Linked DNA regions of Danio rerio. The protein of the gene in region 2 interacts with the protein of the main gene of each other region in a biochemical or structural test. Links are inferred from orthologs where the notes say so. Each region holds a gene or a part of one and is shown on either strand. Other genes may lie near its edges.

Region 1 (10,607 bases), on a different chromosome or scaffold from region 2:
AATGAAGTCAATATTTAAGTTAAACATCATTACTTAGTATTTACTTGCAGCTGCGCACATTGCTCGGTCAAGGTTGTTTGTTATAGTGGCAAATTGTGTTTCCCCCTTATTTTGTGCATACACTAAACTGTAGCTGTTATGGAGGATGAGAGAGCTCTTGGATTTCATCTACAATGTCTTAATTTACGTTCTAAAGATAAATGAAGGTCTCAAGGGTTTGGAACGACATTGGAACGAGTAATAATTAACATAAAAAAATTTTCTGATAAAAATTGATATATACAGTTGAAGTCAGAATTATTAGCCCCCCTGATTTATTAGCCCCCCTCTTTATTTTTTCCACAATTTCTGTTTAACAAAGATTTTTTGAATACATTTCTAAACATAATAGTTTTAATAACTCATCTCTAATAACTGGTTATTTTATCTTTGCCATGATGACAGTAAATAATATTTGACTAGATATTTGTCAAGACACTTCTATACAGCTTAAAGTGACATTTTAAGGCTTAATTAGGTTAATTAGGCAGGGTAGGGTAATTAGGCAAGTTATTGTAGAACGATGGTTTGTTCTGTAGACTATCAAAAAATAAAAAAAATAAATAGCTTAAAATAAAAATAAATAGCTTAAAGGGGCTAATACTTTTGACCTTAAAATGGTGTTTAAAAAAAGTATAACTGCTTTTATTCTAGCCAAAATAAAACAAATACTTTCTCCGGAAGAAAAAGTATTATCAGACGTACTGTGAAAATGTCCTTGCTCTGTTAAACATCATTTGGGAAATATTTATAAAAGAAAAAAAAATCTGGGCGGTGGGGGTGGGGGGGATGTTGGAGGGGCTAATAATTTAGACTTTAACTGTACATTTTCAGTTAACTTAAGAAATTTGAATGAAACAATACAGATTTAGTTTAAAATATAATTAAGTAAGTTTTGCATCAAATACATTATGATCTACCAGCAAGCTTTTCACATGCCAATAAGAACACATTACTACCATAAAGAGTTACAGCAATAATGCTGTGGATCCCTCCATAACTGGCAGAGACTTGAAAATTACCCTTGTTTGACAAATAAATAAGAGCACATGGTATGAGCAGGGCACAGTGGTTAGCACTGTCCCCTCACTGCAAGAAGGTTGCTGGTTTGAGTTGGAACCCTGTGTACACATGGGTTTCCTCAGGGTGCTCTGGTTTCCCCCACAGTCCTAAAACATGCGCTATAGGTGAATTGAATTGACTAAATTAACTGTAGCATATGATTGCATAAATTTGAGACTGTATAGGTGTTTCCCAGCAATGGGTTTCAGCTGATAGGGCATCCGCTGTGCTGGAATAGTTGACAGTTCATTCCACTGTGGCAGCCCCTAAAAAATAAGAGACTAAGCCGAAGGAAAATGAACGAATAAATGACAAATAAGTGATTAAAGTACACATTTCCAACATTTTCAAATGCTACACCTGAAACGACATGTTACTTTCAGGATATTTATCAAATCTCCAATCTCAATCTTTCCAATATCATGGATTTGCAGAGCATTCACAGCACTTACGAACCACACACCCCTGCTGAGATGTTGCCCACTTTCAAATCCGGATGATATTCTGGTCCCTACTGTAGATATGACTCAGAAGCTTTCTTCAATGAACGTCTGATTGCTTCTAGATAATCGCACACCTCGCTTCCGCCAGGCACCGAAAGCATTCATTCCTCCTTTCCCATCCTCTCCCTCCATCTCTCACCTTCACCTCCATCAGCTGTAGTCAGAACCCACAACACGTCATCCCGTTTTACAGGGTGAATCACCAGCCATAGTTCACATCTGCTCTCAGCTCAAAGAACCTAACCAGGGAAAACAAGCAATTACCGGTGGGCTTTTTCAATCAACTCTTTGGCGAGCCGGCCGGGGGCCTGGGATGGGGGAAGGTGGGCGGAAGAGATAATTAGACACGGTTAAAAATATCCCAGCTCATTGTCTCCGCTGTCCCACATCCTCAGATAATGTGCAGCTATTGGCGCAAAGATCATGTGCTCCTGGGAGGAATGTTTTGCATGTTTTTAGCGGCTGAACGGCCAGCGAGGATCACATGACAGCTCGATGTGCTCTTGTTTGTATGTTTTGCCTGCTTTTTACAAAACAATTAAATGATAAGGATTGTCCATGATTCTAATTCGTGTTCATTCTATGCACTGCGTTTCTGAAAGTGAATGTACTGTGGAAGTCAAACATATTCGCCCTGCTGTGAATTTGTTTTTCAAATATTTCCCAAATGATATTTAACAATTTTTCATAGTATTACCTATTATATTTATTCTTCTGCAGAAAGTCTTATTTGTATTATTTTATGGAGGAAAAAAATCTTTAGGGGGGCTAATAATTCGGACTTCAACTGTATGTTGTTGGTGAAAAGGAGAAGTTACTCTGAGACTGACTTGTCTTCCTGTTTCCTGTTTCTGCAGCCCTCACTTCCAGTCCTATATACCCTGTCCAGTCAAGCAACCCATGAGGCCGTTCACCTCCTCTGCAGGATGTTGGTCTTCGACCCAGTAAGTGTTCTTGATACTCTATTATCATATTTTCTTTTGGATTAAAGCATGTTAAATATACGTTCTGTTAAAAAATATATGACTCTGGTCTTATGTTGCATGGATATATATTTTAGGCAGTAGAAAAAATATATGGTCACACTTTATTGTGATGGTCCGGCATTAAGTTACATTGCATCTGCATGCCTACTAATTTTCATTTGATTAAAAGTCGACTGTTAGGTTGGGGTTTGGGTTAATGTAAGTTGACATGTACTTGCAAAGTTTCTTATACAGTAGTCAGTTAAAAGTCTGTTGAAGGAGCTGTATCAACAGATATTAAGCTGACAGTCTACTAATACTCAAATAGACAATCAAAAAAAGTGTAACCAAATATATTGTATGGGTCAAAATTATAAAAAAAATTTTTTAAATAATTTGCATATTAAGAAAAGTGTTGCATGAAGACATTTTTACACATTTCCTACTGCAAATGTGTCAAAACTTAATTTTGTAGAAGTATTATGCATTGCTAAGAGCTTATCTTGAACAAGTTTAAAGGTAATTTTCTCAATATTTAGATTTTTTAAACCCTCGGGTTTCAGATATTCAGATATCTCAGTCACGGTCATATCTCGACCAAATATTGCCTTATTCTAACAAAGCAAACAGTAATGAAATGATTTGTTCATCTTTCAGTTAATGTAATATTAATTTATAATTATTACTTTTTTAGTTCAGTTTGACATATTTGATTATTATTTAAACCAGATTTACCACAGACATGATGTAATATTTATGTCATTTATATCCATTTAAATTAGCATTTATATAACATAGATGTAATGCATTTTTTGTATTCTATTACATATGAACATCATTATTTCTGATATAACTAAATAATACAATATTGTAATATTTTTCTCATATATTAAATTTACTACAATATATATATATATATATATATATATATATATATATATATATATATATATATATATATATATATATATATATATATATTTCCATATAAAGTGTTATATTTTAGGGGGGAGGCTATAACATGCTGTCTGTATAAACACACAGACACACAGCAACACACTGTCTCTCATTCAAACACATTCACAAACATAGACAGCATCAAACAAACAAACACACACACGCACACACACACACACAAACAAACACACTTAAGCCCTTGCAACAGGGAGAGCTTACGCTGAGCGGAGCAGAAAAACAGAAAAAAACGAAAAAAATAAGCACTTTTCCGATGGTCCCTTACAGAGAGCTCCTCTCAGCGCGAGCTCTGCCGGCTAAAGTAAACGCAGACTGCAAGGGCTTAAACGGAGCTGTGCTCGTAATGTCGAGCGAAAAAAAGAAAGACAGCTGTGAAACATAACCAGCTTTGTCTTTCTGTAGGAAACACACTTTAGATATTTTTAGGGTAAGCGTTTTTTGAGTTATTGGCGTCTATAACTGAATGTGTGTCAGGAAAATCGAAAACAAAACCAACTGAACTGCGCTCATTTCTGGCGCCCCACTGGATATACAGCGCCCTAAGCATTTGCCTGTGGTGCCTATGCCACGGGCCAGCCCTGAGTTTGCTGAGTGTTGTAAATAACGGCGCTCACCTTCCTCGCGACAGAGCGCATAGGAGATAAATGACGTCAGTACATAATAACCGGTTATGGTTATTACTAAATCGATACCGAATTGTCCGTGTCTGCATCGCGGTGCACCGAAGAAACAATTAATTTTGACACCCCTAATATATATATATATATATATATATATATATAGTATTTATAATATATATTTGTTTTATTTGTTTTATTGTGTTTATATGTTTTACTGTAATATTTAAACTGAACTAATGTGTTCCCCGAAACAGTCGAAGCGAATCTCTGCGAAGGATGCCCTGGCACACCCGTATCTGGATGAGGGGCGTCTGCGATACCACACCTGCATGTGCAAATGCTGCTACACCACGTCCTCCGGCCGCGTTTACACCAGTGACTTCGAACCCGTCACAAACCCCAAGTTTGACGATGGATTTGAGAAGAACCTGACGTCAGTTCGGCAGGTCAAAGGTGAGCCACCAAAAACTCATTCACTTTTACACATTTATGAGGATTACAGTACACAACAGAGATGCACCAATAGACCGGCCAGAAATCCGCATTGGGTTTTTTTTGTTGCTCTAAACTAAAAATAAAACATTAAATTAAACAAATCTAGCAAACATAAACTATTCATTCACTATAAATCCTTCATTTTAATTTCTTTATTAATTATGTGATGTTTTCAACATTAAATTGATGGTACGAATAAGACGAATTAAACCTCTCTAGTACTATCATACCTTGTAATATACTGTACAGTTGAGGTCAAAATTATTAGCCAAATATTATTTATTTTTTATATTTTCCAAATATTTCACAAATTATTTATAACAAAGCAACAATTTCTTTACAATATTTCTTATGTTTTTTCTTTTGGAGAAAGTCTTAGTTTTATTTCGGCTAGGATAAAATATTTTTTTAATTTTTAAAAACCATTTTAAGTTCAATATTAATAGCTCCCTTTAGCATTATATTTTTACTAATTAACTAATTTTAACTAATTACCCTAACTCACCTAATTAACCTAATTAACCTCTGAAGAAACAAATATTTATATATTTTGTTTTGTTTATTTTTATTATTATTTTTATTTATTTATTTTCTTTTTTTTTTTTTGGCTTAGTCCCTTTATTAATCAAAGTTGCCACAGCAGAATGAACTTTCTAATTTATTTTATTTTATTTCAAAACAAAATCAGAACTGGCCACTGCATCACTACTACACAATCTACAACACGTGAGCCAAACAAAGTCAGTCTATTAATTTAACCTTTTGTCCCGATTCACCTCGCTTTGAAGACAACGTGTTCAAGAGCTAAAGGTCTTAATTGAATTGGAGCTATTTGAGAGCATGTGGCCGTCATGCCGTTGCGTGTTAATCAGAAGCCTCCTGCTGCTCCTGGTGTTTTTTGTGCCTTGTTTTCACCCTTCACTCGGGGCCCCTGGATCGGCGCTTGCCTTCCACTGTCAGCGGGTATTAGCGAGAGTCTGTCACTAAAAGCAGGCTTACTGTGCTGTCGGCTCAAAATAACTGTGCCCTTCACCCTCCCTCCTCTTCCTCCGTCCTGTGTGTTTCCACTGGAGGATTAGTCAGTGCGGATGGAGCCCAGCGCCTGGAGACTTTAAGCGCTTTAGGGAAGGCAGGCGTGTTTGGACGGCAAGGGGAAGCCCTCTTGGATCCACACATGAGGAGTTTCCACGTTGCCCAAGCTAGTTTTACGCTTTAGAAGATCTTACAGATATCATAATGCTGCAGAATCGACTCTTTGACCTGCTTCACTGCTAAAATAGACCTTGTCTTCTTTTATGATTAAGGATTTGCTCTGGAAATGTGTTGTAGAGTGTAACCAGTTTGTTTATATTAGTGTGGACACACAGTACACTATCATATACAGTATCAGTAGCATATATTATAGGGTCATTATTTATTTCATTCATTCAGTAGTCTCTATTTCAGTGGTCACCACAATGGAATGAACTGCCAACTATTCCAGCATATGTATTACGCATGTGGATGCCCTTTCAGCTGCAACCCAGTACTGGGAAACACCCATATACACACATACACTACTGCCGATTTAGTTTAATTCATGTCTTTGGACTGTGGGGGAAACCGGAGCACCCGGAGGAAACCCACACAAACACTGGGAGAACATGCAAACTCTACACAGAAATACCAATTGGCCCAGCCAGGCCTCGAACCAGCGGCCTACTTGCTGTGAGGCAACAGTGCTAACTGAGCCACCGTGCCATCCTGATGGTTTCTTTGAAGTCACATATAAACAAAATAGTTTTGTTTTTGTGAACTAAAATATGAGCCAAGTCATGATTAGCCACGATTGAATGTAACTTCTGCTGTTATTATTGTTTGTTTCTCATCGAGCCTCTGCTATTTCTCCATCACACAGAGATCATTCATCAGTTCATCCTGGAGCAGCAGAAAGGGAATCGAGTACCGCTCTGTATCAACCCTCAATCCGCTGCCTTCAAAAGCTTTATCAGGTGAGGCTGCCCTCTTCTGAACGTCTCTTCTGCTTTAATGGTTAAAGCTCTTTTCTCCAGGTCAGGTTTCATGCTGGAAAGCAATATGAGCATAATGAAAGTTAGATCTATATGTTCATAGCAATTTTTGCATTGTGACATTATTTTCATCACAAAAATTCATTTTAAGACCAGAAAAATGTGTCATTTAACAAAAATAATTGCAATAATTACAAATTATAAAGATTTTAAAAAACTGAGTGTTTTATACAGGTGTACGTTGTATTAAATAATACATATTACTTTTATTTAAATGCATTATTATTTATTTTTAGATTTCTATTTGTTAAAATGATTACTAAGTATACAATTACTATATAAATACAATGGTCATAAAATAAGCAAAACGCTTACATTTGTTTATGCAAAATGTGTTTTTTGCTAGAATAAACATATATACTTTATTTTAAACTTGAAATTAAAAAATCCCCAGGCAATTCTTTACTGAATTTATGATATTCACTCTCATGCCATACCTTTTCCTTTTACAAACATGCTAAATCAAAGCCAGTGAGTTTAAGAATCATGTTTGGACATGCTTTAGGTTAAAAGAAACATGTCATTGTTCAAAATTAACCCTAATTTTTTTATATAAAAGACCAGAGCTTGACATTAACACCAGGAAATGTGTTTAGATTTCAGCTGTGGTGGGTTAGACAGTCACTCCCACTAGCTACTTAGGCTGGTTGATAATTAATTAATATAATTTTTAAATTGTAGTTGTTATAAAAAAAAGCAGAGTTCAACAATAAGGATTTTCCAATGAGGGGCCAGCGTGAGAGATCACAATAATAACTGTGTTCGTGTAAGCAAAAGAAAGCAGGTGAATACGTGAATACCGAATGAGGCGATGTTGACGCACTGACGAGGGCTTCAGTGTCAAGGCTGATTTCAGGTGATATGACACACGCAAGTGTTTAAAGGTTTCAAAAAAAAAAACTCTTCCTTGCATGAAGCATCCGTGCCTGTAAACATAACTGGTGCGATTGGTTCTCTTTTAAATAGACTGGACAAAAAGTGATGCTTGTGCCCCACAGTCCTGCTGCTTTCAAGAGCTCCATTTTTTTTAAAGATGTTTTTGTAAGCAGCAGGTTCCTTTTTCACATGGTATGTTTTCATCTGCTTTCTTTTGCTTACAGTTATTTTAAGCTAATAATTGATTTTATTTTTATTTATTTATTTATTTATTTATTTATTTATTTATTTATTTTTGGTGTGGCTAGAGAAAAAAACAGTAAATCCTTAGTGTTGAGTCCTGAAAAATAAAAGCTAATTGCAATGCGACACTATGAATAACTCATAACTCATTTGCTCATGATCATTGAGCAAGGTCATACATAATACACAAAATAAGTGTAATCAATGAGGAGGCATGTGGAAAAAACACATCTAAATCAAGTCATTTTAGCATGCCAAAATCAAATTTTATGCATATAAAATAAATATTTTCCAACAACAAAATTGTGGCTAGTGAAAATGGCAAGTGGCTAGTAATGTTGGTAAAATACTAGCCAAGTGGCTGGTGATCAAAGAAGTTAATGTGAAGCCCTGTAAAAGACAGTATGTCTTAAATGGGAGCAATTGTTGCAAATGTTTTTGTTAAATCTAAACATTTTGATCTCATCTTCTAGCTTCCAGTCTCTCAACACTAGATGGAGACATCTCCTTATCCTTTACACAGGACCTAACAATCCCCTCTTTCTTTCATTGTGTCCACAGCTCAACAGTAGCTCAGCCCTCTGAGATGCCTCCATCTCCTTTAGTTTGGGAGTAGCTGAGGACAACAGAGAAGATGGCGTTGATCACAGTGGCAGTGGACGTCCCTCCGGCGGCCTGTCCCGTCCCGCGCCCACCCTCGCCCCTCCGGACTACTGACCCCCAGGCATCCCCAAACCTGCGTAGCATTTCACTGGAGTCTAGGACTAGCCAATGTTGCTGATATTTGTGTGTGTGTACTGTAATACTTACTAAATGGAGTTTTATAGAGGCAACCACTGCTGATGAGTTCAAGCGGGACAAGGGAAGGGTGGGCGTGGTCCTGGGGGGTCCGTTCGTTCATACCCACTGCTCTGTAGTAGTAAACTGAAGGTTCGGAAAGCTCTCGAACCTGTACTTTCGGCAGATAAAGTCGATCCCTGTGGACTTGAATGTATTGAAGAGCAGGGCGGCAGAATCTGTGCAGTATCCCTGAAGGAAAACTCATCACGACTATGTGTGCGAGTAATCATGCTTTATTTATTCACGGAAACAAGAAGTGCAGTGCATCATGTAGTATCGAAAAGAAGGCAAGTTTTTCTTAAGTCTGAAGTTTTTTCGCTCGCGATAGCACCTTAGAAAGAAACAGGGCCGTGGTATAGGGTGGGACAGGAAATATCCCTGACACACCAAGCCAAATCTTGGTTTCCGGTCAACGTCTTGCCATCCATTGGTCAGTTATGTTTTTCTAGAGTGGAGTTAGTCCGACCTGTTAGGGGACTTTCTGGCCAATTGAGAATGCTGAAGCGCAATCTGTGCCATCAGTGAGAGAGAAGACTCTGATTGGCTGTTCAGTTTTGAAGAGGAGTCATAGCTAATTCAGGAGTCATTAATAAAAGCCAAAGTGATGAAAATGAACAAAGAATTTAAAAAGGCACAGAGAGAAGGCTCTTATAAGGTATTTAGGTCATCTTACCTAATCACAGATATATTTGTAATGACAGAAAGAGTCTGGAATGAGCAAAGTGATCATTACATTGTTTATATTGAAAATATGGCACACATTATGTGCACTATTTGACTACTAATGGCACTTTATAATGCAGACTATTGTCAGTGAAAGTCCACAAGACCGCAACGTGACCCAATCTGTGGCATTGCTAGGAGATTATATGCACAGGTTTGGGCTCTGGGACCCTTTGCTAAAGATTTCAGTCATGGGACTTTACTGTTGTGGGCCTCTAGACCCTATGCCCTCCATTTCCCCCTACATTCAGTACACTGCTGTTGGCATCTAGCATATTTTTAGCTTTCAAATAGCGACAATTGTGGACAGCAAGAGTTTAGGATGCCAACTGTTATTGAGCCATAGACTATTGAATCCTGCTGATGTATAGACAGTTATTTCCTCTCACTCAGGCACAGATCAAACCTGCTATTAGGCCATTGGTTGCAGTCTTTGTAGTGTTTTCACACACACTAACTCAAGGTGAAGCTATTGCTGGCTTTTGCCATCCTTAGTTTTCTGGTGTCACTTGGTGTGTCAGGTCCGTATCAAGTTGTACTGGGCCTTGTAAATTTTAGCAATGGCGCTTACAAGAAGTTTAACCACTCATTTTACTAGTTCGAGCTACTCATTGTGTTTATTTGCTTTATTTTTTATGTAATAGAAGAGATTCCTCCATTTTCTCTTTTGTCCGTAGCCTTTTGTTAGAAATCTGTATTGATTTTGTTTTCATCTCATGTTTAGTTTTTGCGAGTAAAAGAAAAATCAGTATACCATAGCGCAGCACTTGGCAGAGGAACTGATTCAAAGGCTTCTTTTAGTACTCCTGAATGTGAATGTGTTGTGTCAATATTTAGTGCTGCAGATGGGTGACTGTATGGCACAGTGTCTCTGAACATTGGCCCAATCCCAAACGGCACACTTCATGTGAGCTTGTGGGCTTGCAGACATTTAGTGACCGCCATGTGCACTTGTCTGTGAAGTCCGCAAGACCGGAGGGTGTCCTAACCATCGGTTTAGCTTACAGAAGGGGGCTCTGAGCACATGCTATGCGCATTTCTGTCACACTTGCACTGAGGTGAGCTTCAAGCAGACCCGTGTGGTCTACCACAAGATTTTAGAGTGCCATTTGGGATACTATTGATGCCTGCTGATATAGACATGTATTTCCTCTCACACTGATTGGCCATTGGCTGTAGTCTTTTGCATTGTGTCAA
Region 2 (9,667 bases):
TGGAGGAAGCATCTGGGGGTCTATTTCACATGCTTCAACTGCTTGGCTAAATGATGCAATTGCACCTTATCACACCACAAGCTCTGTTTAACTCCTTGTGCAACTGAGAACCCCCTCCCAACCCTTCACATCATTCAACTCGACAAGTTCCCTTTCTCTCTGACCGCTTTTCCTGCATGCATTCCTCTCTTTCTTTCGCTTAATTTTGCTCTTTTTTTGTTCCCCCACCCAGATCTCCATGAACGGCTACGGTGGCTGGAACAGAGGCTCTTTGGCGGACAGTTCGGTTGGCATTGTTGTTTCAGTCCCGGCTCCATCCCTAGAGCAAGGATGCCTTCCTGAAGAAAGCGCACATGGCAACACAAACAGCCCAAATAACGACTCCAGCTCCACTTTACCAGAGTTTATCGATGCTATTGATTCGGTAAGTTCATCTAAAATGAACAGTGACCATGTATTCATCAGCTAGCATCTAGCGTTAAAGGGATAGTTCACTCAAAAACTAAAAATTCTGTCATCATTTACTCACCTTTCACTTGAGTTTCTTTCTCCTATTAAACAAAAGAGAAGGTATTTTGAAGAAAGTTGAAAACTTGTAACCTTTGACTTCCATAGTATTTGATTTCCAACATACTACTCAATGGTTACAGGTTTTCAGCTCATCTTCTTTAGTGTTCAGCAGAAGAAAGAAACTCCTAAGTGTTTTGAAACCACACGAAAGGCGTGTAAACACTGAGCATTTATCCATTTTTGGTGAACTATCTCTTTGGGTGAAGTATCCTCCTTCATTTTCATAGGCCCCATCAGTCTGGGCCAACAAACACCCTAAAACGGAGTGCCAAACCGGTCAGGGTTCGCCTGCAAACAACGGCAACAGAAGTGCCCCCACTTTTCTTTGCTCAACGCCCAAATATTCATCCGTCAGACACCTGCCTTTTTCTCCCACTCAGGTAGTCTGAAAACCGCATTGAGTCACCCAAATGACTCTGAATTAATCTGTTCACTCTAATACGAATCAGTGTGCATTAGTCAACATGCGTAGGATTCATCAAAAGGTTGCGTTGACATACTAAATCGCATTTATAGCCAACATGAACGCTTTTAACATATTAAATGTATCACCTCAGCTATTAGTGCTACACTTTTATGATGCTTTAACACTTTTATCTCTTTGGTATGACTGTATTGATTTTGCTCTGTTGTTTTCAGTACATCAGTCAAACACTAAAGATAGTGTTTGACTTGAATATTAGATACTAATATACTCTATATACTACTAAGATATACTATATCTTGCACGAAGGACCGCTGTGTTGCTTTCTTAAATGAAATGAATGTCTAATGAGCACTGGGTGATTGGTGTATGATTCTCAGCATGCGATTACACTTTTCATTTCCTCTTATAGCTGTTATTGTTGCACTTAGTTATAATGTTCTTCATTACATGCTGGTATGCTCTAATCATACAATAGCTTAACTTGCTTTTAACCTAGTCTAATAGTATCAAAACTGTTTACTGACACTTATGTGTGAATTTATGCTGATTCTGACCTCATTTGCAGGTCCTCCTACACCTCTGAATGTTAATTATGTGGTTTACAGTTTAATATCTGATTGTTTTCTTCCTTTCTTCTGTTTGCAGTTCTTTAATGCTTCAGTGAGTCCCGATTCAGACAGTCAAAATATACCAGTCACGCCATCGCCGGTCTGCTCCCAGAAAGCACTGCAGCAAGACCTTGCTCTTCGACCTCAGAAGGAAAATGAGCTGTAAGTGCCCTTTTTGATATCATTTATAATTAGGATCTCCTATAGAGATGGAATTACTGAGGTTATAGATCAGGGGTGTTCAAACTCAGTCCTGGGGGGCCGGTGTCTTGCATATTTTAGTTCCAACCTCATTTAAACACATCTGAACCAGCCTATCAAGTTCTTTCTAGGTATACTAGAAAATTCCAGGCAGGTGTGTTGAAGAAAGTTGGAGTTAAACTATGCAGGAAACTGGCCCTTTAGACCCCTCTGTTAAAGATGATGGTAATGAGACAGTGGTTAAGTGATAATGTATATATGGCCATTTTTAGGTTCCGAACTCCCAACCTGAGGCGTTCGATCATGGAGTGTTCTCCTCGCACACCCACTCCATTCAAATCCACACTGACAATGCAGGACAGCAAATACGGACCACTGAAGAGGGTAAGACTTTTTTTTTTTTTTTTTTGAGAACACAAATAAATACACAGTATATACACATAATTTTACAATAGGATAAAATAAATTTTTACATAACAATTACATAAAATATCTATATTTTAAATATAACCATTAAAATTGAATAAATTATTATTATAAATAGCATGAAATAAACTAACTTGCAAGATTATTGTCGTTACTATTATTAGTTCCGTTATTACCAGGGGTCGCCACAGCAGAATGAACCACCAACTTATCTAGCATATGCTTTACATAGCGGATGCCCTTCCAGCCGCAAACCGACACAGAGAAACACCCATACACTTTTGCATTCACACACATACACTACAGCCAGTTTAACTTATTCAATTCACCTATACCACGTCTTTGGACTGTGGGGGAAACCGAAGCACCCAGAGGAAAAATATACATAAAAAATCTAAATGAATTTACATTGTAAAGAAAACTCCATAGAAATAATGGAAAATGTCGTGGTAAAATATTACCAGTGTATTTCCATCTGAATAATTTAAAATACAGTTTAAATAACACAAATATGTAACACGAATCAAATATCCCGGGACTGTTTGCATAAAAAAACTGTCTTAAATATTATTCAAATGTTATTAAATTATTTTCAAAGAACATGATTTAAAATTATTTGATATATTATTATCATTGTCATTTAAATATAAAAAAAATAAAAATAAAAATAAAATACGTGTGTGTGTGTATATATATATATATATATATATATATATATATATATATATATATATATATATATATATATATATATATATATATGATAACAAAATCTATACAAATCTATACAATAAAGGCAATGTACTTGCAGAAAACACCAACAATGACTAAACAAGCAGACATTTCAACAGGATATACAATATGAAACTGTAGAACACTATAAAATATTATTAATAACTTTGGGATTTCCAAAAGCAATCACTAGATGAGGTAATCTAAATGTTATACTAGGTGAAATGAAATATCCAATATCATACAACAAATGAACCCTCTAATAACAGAAACCATTTTGCTTATGCCACATTATGCTTAACTACATTGACATGTTTTATTCAAGTCTGTATTCTGGTTGCAGGTCCACAGTCCTTCGCTGGACTCTGGAGTGGTCGGCACGATTAAACAAGAGCCCCAGGAGTGTGAGATCAGTGTTGGAGGGGTGCATCTAGACCAGCCCCCTCTGAAAAAGATCAAACAGGAGGTGAGTTCAGCTGAATGCAGGCCCCTTCATTTGAATTTGATATTCAAATAGCACAAATGTAAAAACGCCTTGTCTGTACGTTGCGATTTGAATTTGTCAGTAATATCAGCATGCAGTCAAACTCCATCAGAGTGAGGCTGTGAATTGTGAGATTGTAAAAGTACTGTAAATTATGCCCGGTATAGTCAAAGATCTGTTGTAATAATTGTCAATCTTTTGGATTTGTAGGTGGAGTCAGTGTGTCTTCAGTGGGAGGGGCAAGATCTCCACACTCAGCTGTTCCCTTCTAATGGCCCCGCCCACGACATGCCTGTGAGTATCTTCGTTACGCTTTTATACGACGAATGCTACAGTTGTCAGCATTATTTTGATGTTTGACGGTTGTGTTTTTATAGGATCTGCTGACTAGCTCTGTGCTGATGCTTCCCAACACAGAGAAGACTGAGGACGGACACAAAGCTGCCCAGTTGCCCCGCAGACCCATAGGAAGTCCTTTGCAGGTATAATATTTACATATTCACTCCTGTGTAGCTATGTGAAAAGTTTTCAGAACTTATGTTTTAGTAAATTCATTTCAATTCAGCTTTATTTGTATAGCGCTTTTACAATGTAGATTGTGTCAAAGCAGCTTCACATAAAAGATCATAGTAAAATGAAATAGTGTAGTTCAGTTTTTAAAGATTAAGTTCAGTTCAGTTTAGCTCAGTTTATTGTGGTTTAATAAGTACATTTCGATTACCTTTCTAATACAACAAAATACAAATACAAAAAAAAAATAGGAGCTTTTTTTTTTAAATGCTTTTAAAAAGTATTTAAAAAATCAGACATCGCATAAGGATGTATTGTATTAAACATTACAGCTAATTTGGCCTTTCAAGTTAGATGGGTGCTGGATGAGGTCATCTGAATTAAAAAATAGGGGAAATTATTGTTTACAACTAAAGTTTCGATATCCAGGGTGTCCACGGGATCTTTAAAAGTATTAAAAGTTGATAAATCAGTCATGAAAAAATTAAGGCTGTTAAAAAGTATTACAAAGTCTTAATCGAGTTTTTACGAGGTCTTAAATTTTGTTTAAGCATTGTCCAAAGTGTTTGACTCCAAAAAAGCATAAATATATTTATTTTCCTCCTAATATTAACAATAACATCCTCAATCCATGCAATTGGTTTGGGCCAAGCTCCTCCATCCGAGTGATGTCGCGTAATTTGCGACAAACGTGGGAAGGGGATGTGACGCTCTCTGCATGTAACAAAACCATAAACCGAAACAGACAGAAAAATGTGAAAATGTAAGTTTGCATTCTCCTGGTTGAAGAAAGACGAGTTTAAACAGTGGCTAAAGCCTGTCGCTGAAAACAAGCTTTGTTTCTTCCGAGTTCTGTGGCATGGTTGTGATCCATTGATTTATTTAACTACAACTGTTTATTAAGAGCTGTTTATTAAGTTAAAGGTTTTATACTGATTAAAACTTGAAGTGGCGATGAGGTCTTAAAATATTATGAGTAGGTCTTTAAAAAGTCTTAAAAAGGTACTGAAATTACCTTTAGGATTCCTGCATATACTCTAATATAAAGCCTTAGCACATAACCAGTATGCTACCGATACACATTCTGATTGCCTGGTTTAAAATGTTTCATTCAGAATTATATTTTGGTTCCAAGAGTAAACACCAGTGTTAGTAAATAATGCACACACCCCTGTTACGTTTGGCTATCAGAAAGTATCGCATTGAAATTTTTAATGCAATGATTTGAGCTATATGTAGAATACTAGCGACACCGGTGGTCATTAAGTGAATTGCATCCAACAACCTGTTGCCCATGCTTACACTAGTGTACAAGCAACGTACTGACAAAAATTGGGATTACATTTGCAAAATGTACAAACTTAGAGTGATGTTTCCATGAATGTATGTTGCACTTTTAGATTAATGGATGCTGCACGCCTTTCCTCTTAACATTAAATTAAAGGCCACAAAACAAATAAATTTAAAAAAGCGGGATCTGATCATAGCAACATGGATATGTTTCCACAAGCTCAGCCATGCACCCTTATGGATATAAAGCTATTGCACTCTACAGATCTGGCTATGTGAAAGTAAACTTTTCTTTGCATTGACATAGCAGTACAGAATAGCTGTTTCAACATTATACTGAACATTTATTATTAGAACATTTATTATTGATTGATTGATTTTATTTGACAGTTTGAACAAAAATATACCAACAAGTCCAGTTAGAATAATTCATACATATTTTAAAAACTGTCAAGGATAAAATACACAAAAAAAGCCACAGACTTATTTCCATTGTGGTCCTCGATGATCTTAAAAACTGAACAAGCGAATTATAAATGCAAATATTAACATTATATTAACTTTAACCTTCATTTTTTTTAATTGCTCTTCTAAAAACACTCTCAAATTGAATCTCTTTTAAACTCATAGGCAATACATTAAAGAATTTCTACCTGTTTCACTCTAATCTAATCTACAAGGATAAACATGCCTGCTACTGGCTTTTGTAAAATGAAATAAACTAAAATATAATAATCAAGAAAATATTTGGGTACCATTTTCTTTATAATCCTAAACACCATCACTAATATTTACCCTTTTTAAAAAAAAAATACTTTTACTATAATGCTCATTATGTAAATGTGTCAGTGGAGGTACTTTTATAACAATTCTACACAACGTATTTTGTTTTTTGTTATTATTTTGTTCTGTTAACACTAGTGCATTTAGTTTAGTCATGATTGCGGCTAGCATCTGGACTACTCGGACATGTTCAATTTGTAAAAATGGAGCATTTTAAAAACACTAAAGACCCAGTTTTAGTTTGGAAATGCTTTTTATGTTTGTTTTAGTATAGCTTGAAATAGAGATTTTCTTAAATGGAGGCATGGCTATCTACGATCACTGTCTGATTGGTCATCTAAACTATTGCATATCCTTCGCCGATTCGTCAAGCCACTACCATATGATTTTTACACAACCAGTAGACTTCAAGTATGAATGCGGGCAAAATATGTGTATGCCCAGAAAGTGCGAATAGTCAGATATCATACATTTTACACCGTATAATGGAGTGATGGAGTTTGTTTTGCCTAAATGAGGAGTGTTTTCATTCTAAAATACGGTTTCATAACAAAAACAGTTTGTTTGGGGCTGTTGTGAAAAGTAGCTAATACTTGAAAATGCATATTTTTAGTGTCTTTAATGTATTAATGTTACTTGCGTAGTTTGTATGTACAACTATATAGTAGCATTTGGTAGTAGCACATATTTGGCTTTATGACTCCAGGTGCTGAATTGCACCATAAACTTGTAAAAGTAATGATTTATTAGACACACAAGCGTAGGCTATGCAAAACCTGACCAATCACCTTCATCTCTGAGTTTGATGTACTTCTCTCCATCCTCACTTCCCCTCTCTCTCTCTTCTTTCGTCCATCACAGCAGTTGAACACATGGGAACAGGTGCTTTGTGGGAAGACGGAAGAGCAGACGATTCCCTCTGAAGCCACGCACAAATACCTCAGCAATTATTCTTCGCGAGCTCTGGTCATATGAACGAGAGACATAATGAGACAAAAATAGAAAGGGAAGGAGGAGGGAGAGTGAAAGAAGACAATCATTCTGAAAAGAAGTAAAAAGAGGAACAGTCCCTACACTCGTGGTACATTATTTGGGAGAGGCTGTAAGCCATTTTTGTTTGTAGACTGCACAGTCGATGTTTGGTCGCCAATGTTTAAGCTGTGCCATCATTCAAGGAACCAAAGACATTGTGTTTTTTATATACATATATATATATATATGTTTTGTTTTGTTATTTCTACATTTCTGATTGGAATTTAATAATATTGTATTATATATGTTGTATTATACATGGGAAATAATTGTTTATGTGGGTTCTAATTTTATGGATTTTAATATAAGGAACAATTTGCAGTAATTTATTATTATTTTGTATTAAGAATAATAATTAACTAACTATGACGGGCGCCTTTGCCAGTGTTTGCCCCCAGTATTGCTCACTTTTTTATTCGCTAAATGTGTGTTAATTGTAAGGAGCGCATGTCCTCCTAGCATTATCCGAGTCTTACACCCAAAACCAGACAAAGAGTTGTTCTGGGTGACCAACAAAACTGCCCTTGTATGTATTTCAGACTTATAGCACTGCTGTGTATTTCTGGCTAAAACAAACTGTGCCCGATGCCTACAAAATTAGGCCAGTTTGTGAATTCAACTCAAAATTTGAAGTCATATATCTAGTGTACTCTGCCAGTTTAGTAGTGTTGCCATTTCAAAAGCTTCAAGATGGAAACCACAACGTTCATTTTTGTATTAGCACTATTTCAGGTTTTAGATCAACTCTTGCAGGAATTTCAACAGAACAAAGTGTTTGTTTGTTTTTGTATTTGCTTCAAAGGTTTACCGAACATTTTCAAATCAAGGTCCAAAGTTGCCTTCGAGATGATATACAACATTTCTTTATGTTTTCATAAACACTTTTTTGTATGACGATTTGTAATCAAATTTACCTTGGTATTTCTAGTTTTTAAACACTGAAATGATTGTTGCTTTTATACGTAGTTGGCTTGTTTTTTGATATTACAATCAGCCTTTTTTGATACTAAGATCCAATCAAAAGCATTGAGGAATAACTTTTTGTTATTCGCTGCCTTTTTGTATTAGCTTCAAGTACAAACACTTTTTATACACTGATTTTGAACTTTTCATACGTTTTTTATACAAACTGCCTTGTAAATAAAGTGTGTTTTTGAGAAAAAATATCTCTGGATTAATGGTTTCTTTTCCACTTTGCATCTCCTAAAATCTATTTACTTTCACAGATGTTCATAAGACCAAAATTAAACTACTTATTGAAATATAGTCGAAAAGACAAACTTAAATGTCTCAAGAACTTTGCATAAAAACATCATACTTGCAAGGAACTTAGTATCCAAATCCATTTTGAGTTTATGTTAATCTTTATGTAAATATCAGTAACCTATTGTACATCTAAAATAAAATAAATAATATTTTAATCACTTATTTGTTATAAAATGTAAGTTAGAATAAAAGTATTAATAAAATTATAACAAAATCCAAAACCCCATTATATACATAGTTGTGCTCCCATTAATCTTTGTTTTATATTAATTTAGGGTCAAAATAAAAGTTTTTTGACATAATATAGGTGTTTTATATATTGTATATTTATTATGTATATGTGATAGGCACACACGCATAGAAACAAAACTATACAAAACAATTGAGTAACATAGATATTTATTCATTCTTTTTTTTCGGCTTAGTCCCTTTATTATTCAGGGGTCGGCACAGCAGAATGAACTGCCAACTTATCCAGCATATGTTTTACGCAGCGAATGCCCTTCCAGCCGCAACCCATTTCTGGGAAACATCCATACACTCATACACTTATATAGACAATTTAGCCTACCCAATTCACCTCTACCGCATGTCTTTGGACTGTGGGGGAAAACGTAGCACCCGGAGGAAACCCACACGAACGCAGGGAGAACATGGAAACTCCACCTCCAGAAAGGCCAACTGACCCACCCGAGGCTCGAACCAGCGACCTTCTTGCTGTGAGGCGTCAGCACCAGGTAGTGCTGTCGCCTCACAGCAAGAAGGTTGCTGGTTCGAGCCTTGGCTGGGTCAGTTGGCATTTCTGTGTGGAGTTTCATGTTTTCCCCTTGTTCGCGTGGTTTTCCTCAAGGTGCTCCAGTTTTCCCCACAGTATATTATATCTACATGTAAATAAACATTTTCTCAAAAATTTGCATGCATATTTGTATTTATACATATGCATATGTAATTTTGATTATACTTTATTGTCATTACACATGTACAAGTACAAGGCAATGAAATGCAGTTCAGGTCTAACCAGGAGTGCAATAGCAGCAAGGGCAGGATATAGGTATAAGTTAGAAAATAGCAATTCTAGAAAAACTCCGGGTAATATTTACAGATGGATGTACTATGAACATTATATACAGGTTGTATTAAATATGAACAGAGACTTATGTCAAAACCAACTTTTATTTTGGATGCAATGAATCGCAATACATTTTATCCCAGCGTTAAATATGTAATTATTTTTTTAAAAATCCAGTAATGTGGTTTCTAAAAAATGTTAACTTGCCCTCTCAAACCATAAAGCCTTAAAAATTCTTATTTCTGGGCAAATTCAAAGAGTCCTGGAAT

The links.
Region 1: of the proteins of myb (region 2) and nlk2, one has a biochemical effect on the other in vitro, tested with the Homo sapiens proteins (2 studies listed by BioGRID, with this or other methods). The link is inferred for Danio rerio from reciprocal best matches to the Homo sapiens genes MYB and NLK.

The regions. Positions count from the first base shown.
Region 1 is NC_133190.1:32,886,777-32,897,383, forward strand, and holds the end of nlk2 (serine/threonine-protein kinase NLK), read left to right. Parts: intron 1-2,461; coding exon 2,462-2,548; intron 2,549-4,418; coding exon 4,419-4,617; intron 4,618-6,556; coding exon 6,557-6,650; intron 6,651-8,408; coding exon 8,409-8,463; 3' UTR 8,464-9,292; downstream 9,293-10,607. UniProt on the Homo sapiens protein: Serine/threonine-protein kinase that regulates a number of transcription factors with key roles in cell fate determination. Positive effector of the non-canonical Wnt signaling pathway, acting downstream of WNT5A, MAP3K7/TAK1 and HIPK2.
Region 2 is NC_133198.1:34,764,422-34,774,088, forward strand, and holds the end of myb (transcriptional activator Myb), read left to right. Parts: intron 1-232; coding exon 233-424; intron 425-797; coding exon 798-950; intron 951-1,642; coding exon 1,643-1,767; intron 1,768-2,078; coding exon 2,079-2,190; intron 2,191-3,307; coding exon 3,308-3,430; intron 3,431-3,658; coding exon 3,659-3,742; intron 3,743-3,825; coding exon 3,826-3,930; intron 3,931-6,892; coding exon 6,893-7,006; 3' UTR 7,007-8,227; downstream 8,228-9,667. UniProt on the Homo sapiens protein: Transcriptional activator; DNA-binding protein that specifically recognize the sequence 5'-YAAC[GT]G-3'. Plays an important role in the control of proliferation and differentiation of hematopoietic progenitor cells.